2 linked regions of the Tamandua tetradactyla genome follow. The protein of the gene in region 2 interacts with the protein of the main gene of each other region in a pairwise test. Links are inferred from orthologs where the notes say so. Each region holds a gene or a part of one and is shown on either strand. Other genes may lie near its edges.

What was found.
Region 1: the proteins of RABL6 (region 2) and SPINK7 interact in binary tests that used the Homo sapiens proteins (3 or more experiments, as listed by UniProt). The link is inferred for Tamandua tetradactyla from reciprocal best matches to the Homo sapiens genes RABL6 and SPINK7.

The regions. Positions count from the first base shown.
Region 1 is NC_135346.1:29,147,752-29,151,502, forward strand, and holds the start of SPINK7 (serine protease inhibitor Kazal-type 7), read left to right. Parts: upstream 1-1,358; 5' UTR 1,359-1,386; coding exon 1,387-1,510; intron 1,511-2,388; coding exon 2,389-2,414; intron 2,415-3,079; coding exon 3,080-3,204; intron 3,205-3,751. UniProt on the Homo sapiens protein: Probable serine protease inhibitor.
Region 2 is NC_135328.1:131,291,683-131,295,433, reverse strand, and holds the start of RABL6 (rab-like protein 6), read left to right. Parts: upstream 1-1,241; 5' UTR 1,242-1,311; coding exon 1,312-1,441; intron 1,442-3,751. Other genes in the region: CCDC183 (coiled-coil domain-containing protein 183), read left to right, coding at 1-57, 131-241, 327-423, 529-647. UniProt on the Homo sapiens protein: May enhance cellular proliferation. May reduce growth inhibitory activity of CDKN2A.

The DNA of each region.
Region 1 (3,751 bases), on a different chromosome or scaffold from region 2:
TTCTAGGACTGGGGCAGGGAATATACAAGATGAGCCTGGAACATCTTGCAATGCTGAAAAGTAAAGACGTGTTAAAACGCAAACAAACAAACAAACAAACAAAAAACGGTGGAGCTGTGTCAAAGGGACACAGAAACAAACTGAAAAAGCTCCAATGGCCAAAGCTGGAACAATTTGAGCAACAAAATAAATAACATAGTATTCAATTATAACCCTAAACAAATAAAGTCCATGAGTCCGTACTGACATGAATGAATGAATAAACAGTTGAGGGAGAAGAGACAAATCTCCCCTGGGCAGAATAATTTCAAACAATTTACATAGATACTTCACCCTCAGAGTTGGAGCATAAAAACTCCCCAGTCCTTATGTAGGGGCTATGCAAAGTGACTTCCTCTCAAAGAACACAGAATGTAAAGGGGGGTGGGGAGAAAAGAAATCAACTTTAAAGTGGGGAAACCTAATAAACACTACCTCAGGCAAGTAATCAAGGTTAACATAAACAGTGACAGGTCAGTGCAACCAGCCAGCAAATGGTTCACTGATTTCCTCTGTACTTGTCTAAACATCTATCAACTAATATCCTTTCCTTGAAATCAGATGTTATAAAAACATACTTTCCTTGTATACAACCCTGATTGATGGCTGTTGACTGCTTGTGTTCAGAAGGGTTCTAATTCTTATTTTGGGCTCAGTGTAAAAAGACTATGGTTGACCAGTTTGCTAGCTACATAGTATGAGATTTTTGCCTGAATGGAGAATCTTTCCATGGTGAGCATGGAAACAGGAAACTGAAGAGAAATTTTGGAGTCCAATTATGAAGGTGCTTGGACAAAGGATACAGAGGCTGAAAAAGGATACAGAGGCTGAACTTCGTATGTCTTTTCATTACGATTCACCAGAAGGCCTCAAAGATGATAAACTAGGGTAGGGATTGCACCTGAGATGTCAGAGTCTCTCCACTAGAACCTGGCTTGTTTCATAGGTTCATTGTCTCAAAAAATAAAACAACACTTTCCTAGGAGGCAAGATATAAGCATAGGTACAATCTGTCTAATCTGGGTTTAATATCCCCCATTTGGGGGGAATAAAAGAAATGTTAACTTTTCTCTTATTTTGTAACTAAACCAAAAAGCTCTTTTACTCTATGAAGTTTAGAATTCTAAGTAACAGTTGCCAGGCACTATGTGGCAGGCAGAAAAATGCTTCTCACCTCAAATCAATTTAGTCAGATAGGAAGTAGCACTTAAGTAACGAGGACTCTAATGCCACCCAGGGTGCGACGTCTGCTTAGAAAGCCTCTTAGGGACAATCGTGACTTTGGATGATCTCACAGGAAAGGCGGAGAAGCTATGTCGGCTTATATACGTGACGCCTCTCCTGGGCATGGCTGATACCGTGCTGGTGGTGACAGCCCCCGAGCAGTCTCTACATCACAGGGCCTCCACAATGAAGATCGTCCGAGGTCTCCTTCTGCTCTGTACAGTGGCCCATTTCTGCAGCAGGACGGGTGAGTGAGGGGTGGACAGTGCTCCACACAGCCACTCAGCTTGTTTTCCTGGATAGGAGCATCTGAGAGAAATGTGTGGTTGTACGGATTTAAAGTGTACCGCTTTGTACTAGAAAGGCATATGTATGGAAAGGGAGAAGCTTAGGCCCCAGCTGGAGATTGGAGGAATTGGGGCTAACGTCTTTCCCTTTCGAGGATTCTGATCTCCATCCATGGAGCAAAAAGTTGAACTCCTTTCTCCATAATTCTATCAGCCATGATGACACTGGAAATGAAAAGTGTTATTAATACTATTCTTCAGGGAAATGATGCAGAACTTGGATGATTTCCTAGATCAATCTAGGAGGCTCAAAATAAAACAAAATTCTCCATAAGCTAGGGATCCACCATTAAACTTTTATATGGTACAAAATTAATTAAAATAAAAATCTAGCACCTTAAAGGCATTTAATTACCTTCTTTAATCTCAATTAGGAGGGAGTGCATATTAAAGATGGTGTTTCTCAGGCTCTAAGAAGTGATGACTGCAATCAGTGCTACTTATACTATTGTTACTTGAGTTTGGGCCATTATCCAAAATACTATGAGTTACTGAAGACCTCCGGTGGCCAATCAAAGGAGGAAATATGGATAACTCCTTTGCCTGAACCAAGGATTTACCTGTCACTTGGCCCACTGGCCATTCAACTCCTCAGCAAATAGCTGAATAGCTGGAACTTTGTATAAGAAGGGGGTATAAGCCAAGACTCATTGCCAGAGGAAATGCAAAATAGTTAACCTATAGGACCTATCACACTTATAGGACAAAATTATATTAACTAATTAGATTTCAAGGCTTTACTTTCTTTTTAACATTTCTATATGCATTTGTCTTTCAGAAGCTGCCAGTCTGTCTTTAACAAGGGTGAGTACAGTACATACATTGAGTAACATTTTAATTTCAATCGCAATGTGTTTAGGGAGACATTAGCAAAAGACAGACACAGATGAAAAACGTGCTCTGCTCTCTAAATAGTAATTGCAAAAACATGACTTACATATAAGTAATAATATACTCATGGTTAACCTATTCTGGTGTTAAAGGAGAGAGAGATGACTGCCAGCTGAGAGGCTGGTGAAGTCTTCATGGAAGGTACAACATGCGAGAGGCTGGTCAGCGTTGCCTTGGTTAATTGAACAAGCTCTGTATTCAATTCCCAACTCTACTATTTACTTGCACTTATCTTACTCAAGTTTTCTATTTCAAAGCTTTAATTCCCCTCTCTCTAAATAAGTATACTACTAGAGTCTACCCTATACAGTTGTGGAAACTTAAAAAAGAAATGTCAGATCAGATACAGATTTACTGCCTGGCACAGAAATGCTCAGCAACTGCTAACTGAATGTAGTAATAATAAACAAAGTGATGGTAGTAATGCTATCATTTGTCATCGTGGTGCAGAGACAAGCAATAGCATCAGAATATTTGAGCTGGGACTTCCAGGATGGTATTCTTGCTGCCTGTCCAATAGAGTGTATCCTAGCTTGGGGCTGGGAGAAAAACAGGTCCTTCTTATATGTCTGTCACAGGTGAACTGCAGCATTTATGAGAAGTACCCAGTGGTGGCCATCCCCTGCCCCATCACATACCTGCCTGTTTGTGGCTCTAACTACATCACCTATGGGAATGAATGTCTCCTGTGTGCTGCGAGCTTGTGAGTACCTCAGAGGAAGCAAAGGACGTTGGGTCCAGTGCCCTCCATTTAAAACCCCACCTCGTCCCAGGAGCCTACTTAACTCTATATAAGCTGTACTAAGTCCCATCCAGAAACAGCTGGTGGGGATTAAAAATTGATTGCTTCATAGTCAGGTCAGGGTGGAGTCATCTATCTCCTCTGCTTGGGTGGGTCCCATCCTGTCTGTCAATTGAGGGAATCTAACAAGACCATGAGTTTTCAAACTGATATCACTATAATTCAGAGGTTTTGTAGAGGCATGTTCAAGAGATGGAGTTAAAGAAGCTAAGGGGGAACCTGTGGGGAGGGGGCCCTACTTCATCTTTCGACTGCTTTAAGTAGTGGAGCCCCCCACAATATCTGGTTTGAAGAAAAAAGGGGCAGGGGCGGAATTCCCCTAACTTTGCATCAAAAAAAAATTTAAATTATCACATATGACTTTATACTATACTTAACAGCCTTAATATAGTTTGATTCTTAGACAAACTGTGGCTAATGGTCCTTTCTTTCCCATTTCCTAGAGATT
Region 2 (3,751 bases):
ACGGGCATTGACAACCTCTACATCCGTCTGATCGGCATCTCGGGGCCCACGACCCAGGTGTGGCCCAAGTCCTCCCCGGGGTAGGATGGGGCCGGCAGAGGGGAGATCCCACGGATTTCTCTGCCCACAGAAAGAAGCGGCGCCCACCGGCACCCTCGATGTGTACAGCAAACTGGCCTACTGCGAGGAGAAGCTCACGTACCTGATCGACAGGGTGCAGACACTGTCCAGGACCGAGGAGGTAGCCGCGGGTGGGAGGCGCCCGGCACGCGGGTCCCGCGCCGCCGGCCAGCTCTTGCAAAGCTGAAGGGTGTTCTGGCCTACAGATCAGCACGAAGGTGAGGGACATCCTGGAGTCGTCCACTCTGAAGGAGAAGTACAACACCAGGATCAGCTTTGAGGACCTGGAGGAGGATATGATAGGTACCGCCGGGTTCTGGCGGTGGCCCACGCCCTGTGCGGCCGCGGCGGGGGGCGGGCGGGTCCGTGGGCTTAGGGCGGGGCTGCAGGACACCGCCCCTCCTGCAGAAACCTTCCAGTTCGCCGACGTGGACCTCAGCTACGTGCCTTCGCGGGCAGAGATCAAGAGGCAGGGCCAGCGGCTAATAGAAGGGAAGCTCAAGGGGGCCAAGAAGAAGAAGAAGTAGCCCCGTCCTGCCACCCCTTCGCCAGCTCTTTGTTACACAAATAAACATTTTTCCAGGACTGGAGGAGAGTCACTGGGGGTGAGACCGGAGTCTCGGAGAAAATGAACAGGCAAAGAGTGGGATCTTGGGGGTATCGTTGGGAAGACCTGCAGACGAGAGGGCTGTCCGGCGTAAATCTGGGCTTCTGGCCCTGAGCTGGGGGGTCGGAGGGGAGGTGCGGTCGGGGTCCACGTGGTTTGGAAGCCCTGGGGGTAGACGATCGGCTGCGAGAGACCAGGTGCTCTCGGGAAGCCCGCCGTCCCGGGCCGGCCCTGCGCATGCGCGCGCCTCACGCCCGTGTCCCTCGCGGCGCCCCGTAACCGCCGCGTTCTCGCTTCCCACCAAGATGGCGCCGCTGGCAGACGGAGGGCGGCCGTGCTGGAGGCCGCTGGGGCCGGATCGGAGCCGCCGCGCCTGAGGCCACGGAGCGGCCGAGCGAGGCAGGCGCCGTCCCTGGCGCCCTCGCCGCCCTTGGCCGCCGGGACCCCGGCTCCGGCCTTGGGGGAGACCCGCGCCCGGCCCACGGGCCGCGGGACATGGTGCGCGCCCCGCCGCCCCGCCGTCGCCGCCGCCGCCGCCGCTGAGCTCTCCGGCCGAGGCCCGGCTCGGACTTCCCAGCGGGAAGATGTTTTCCGCCCTGAAGAAGCTGGTGGGGTCGGAGCAGGCTCCGGTCCGAGACAAAAACATCCCCGCCGGGCTGCAGTCCATGAACCAGGCACTGCAGCGGCGCTTCGCCAAGGGGGTGCAGTACAACAGTGAGTGCGGGGCCCGGGTCCTGACCCCCCACCCGTGCCCGGCCGGCTCCGGCTGCCCACGGCGCCCAAGGCGAGCTTTCAGAAAACGGCGGCGGTGTCGGAGGGGCAGGGTGAGCACACGGCAGCTGCCCCGGCGTGAGCCGTTGAAGCTTCCCGACAGCCGGCCTTCTGACCCATCTGCTTTGTAGGTGCCGTTTTGCAGGTGCCCGAGGAGCGCTCAAAAGTTATCAAAATATATGCATATATACATATATAATCGTAGCAAGTGTTGTTGAGCGAAGGAGTTGCGCTGTGTCCCGTGAAGCCAGCAGGAAGAGCCAGGAATCGCGGTGACTTACACTTTGCGGAAAACGTGGAAGGAAGTATAGGGACGCTGTCGTTCATGCCCCGCGAGGGCAGGTAATGGAGGAGGCTGGATGGTGCCGGGGCGATTTGCAGCGAGATTGTTGGCCACTCTTGTTTGTTTTGAAGGTTTACTGATCTTTTACCTGTGCTAGGTAACTTTCTAAGTGCGCTTCAGGAATGAACTCGTATCTTAGGGACGGCAAGTGGGACCACGCCGGAAACGGGAGTCCTAGAGGACCGAGGGACCCAGCAGGGTAGGCGACTCTCTTTTCCCAGCACACTTCTCTGAAGTGTGGGTCTTTCCTGAGAAATGCTTGCGTGGTAGGAAATCTGGTTTAGTTTTAAACAGTAAAATTCGTTGAAGGAGGTTTCAGTAACGGCGGAAGCTGCCTGGTGGTGATTCTATGGGGGCCTGGCTACCCTAAGAGGGATTACTACTTAATGCAAGAGAATAGCTCTACAGTCGGTGACACTTGGCGGTCTCTCTACTGATAAGGTAACGGAGTTCTCAGTCAGTGAACCGCGTGATAATCTGGAAGGTATGCTCTGAAGACCCGCTGACTGTGGAATTTGAGCTATGGGATGTTTCTTTGTTGACTTCGTATTCAATTTGAAGACAGATTATCAGCTACGCCACACGTTTTAGCCCTTTTTAAAAGAAGCATTTGTAAGAATATATTTAGAAAAGCTCCAGAAGGCGTAGAGACTTGTTATTATAGGAGACATCTCTTCCCCTTTGTGGAAGAGGAGTTTACAGCTGCACTGAGGAGGAGGTTGTTTCCATCTCTCTGTTATAAATTATGTAAATCGCATAGCTCCCAGACACGACCCTTCCTTTGACCTCTCGAGTTTTTCCATTTGGCTTGCCCTTCTGTAGCAGGATTAAAGGCTTTTATGCTGTTCTCTGCTTTGAAAACGTTTCCCACTCAAGTATTTTTCTTATGTTGGTACGTGATTTTAGACTTTTCCCTATTTGCTCACTTTAAGGGGAGTATTCTAGTTTCCACAATGATGTATTTTAGTGATAATGTAGGATATTTAGAAACTGATTAGAAAGGCTTTCATCCAGATTTAATAGGGCTTCTTTTAGCTGTGTTGTACAGTGTTTAGTATAGATTTCTAAGTCGAAGTGCTCTTTTACACAAATCTTTGGAATCCACGTTGGTTCCCTTATTTAATTTTATTCCTTTTAGTGTAACTTTAAATCTCAGTCTTAGAAACTGGACCTCACCTTCAGGGGAGTACTCCAGGGTGGTTATAACCACTGGCCTTGGGTGGGCTGGGGCCAAAAAGGGCAGTGGTATCCCAGAAGAAAGGGCCAGATCCTGAGTGGTTGGGGATGGGTTATGATCTCCTAGTACCGAATGAAAGGTGGTGATTGGGAGAAATTTGGACTTGTACCTGTTCTGGTTTGCTAGCTGCTGGGATGTGATATACCAGAAGCAGAACGACTTTTAAAATGGGAATTTATTACATTGCAAGTTTACAGTTCTAAAGCTGTGAAAAGGTCCAAATTAAAGCAAGGATATAGAAATGTCCAATCTAAGGTATCCAGGTAAAGGTACCTTGGTTCATGAAGGCCGAAGATGTTCAGGGTTTCTCTGTAAACTGGAAAAGCACATGGTAAACATGGCTTCCTCTGCTAGCTTTCTCTCCAGGCTTCTTGTTTCATGAAGCTCCCCCAGGGACATTTTCCTTCATCTCCAAAGGTCTCTGGCTACCTGGGCTCTTGTGGTTCTGTGGCTCTCTGGCTCTCTGGCTCTCTGGCTCTCTCTCCAAAGTGTTTCCTGTTTTAAAGGATTCCAGCAAGCTAATCAAGACCCACCTGGAATGGGTGGGGTCACATCTCCATGGGAACAATCCAAAAGCTCCCAGCCAGCAATATTGAATGAGGATTAAAGGACATGGCTTTTCTGGGGTTTGCCACAGATTCAAACTGGCACAACACCTAAAATACATTTTAGC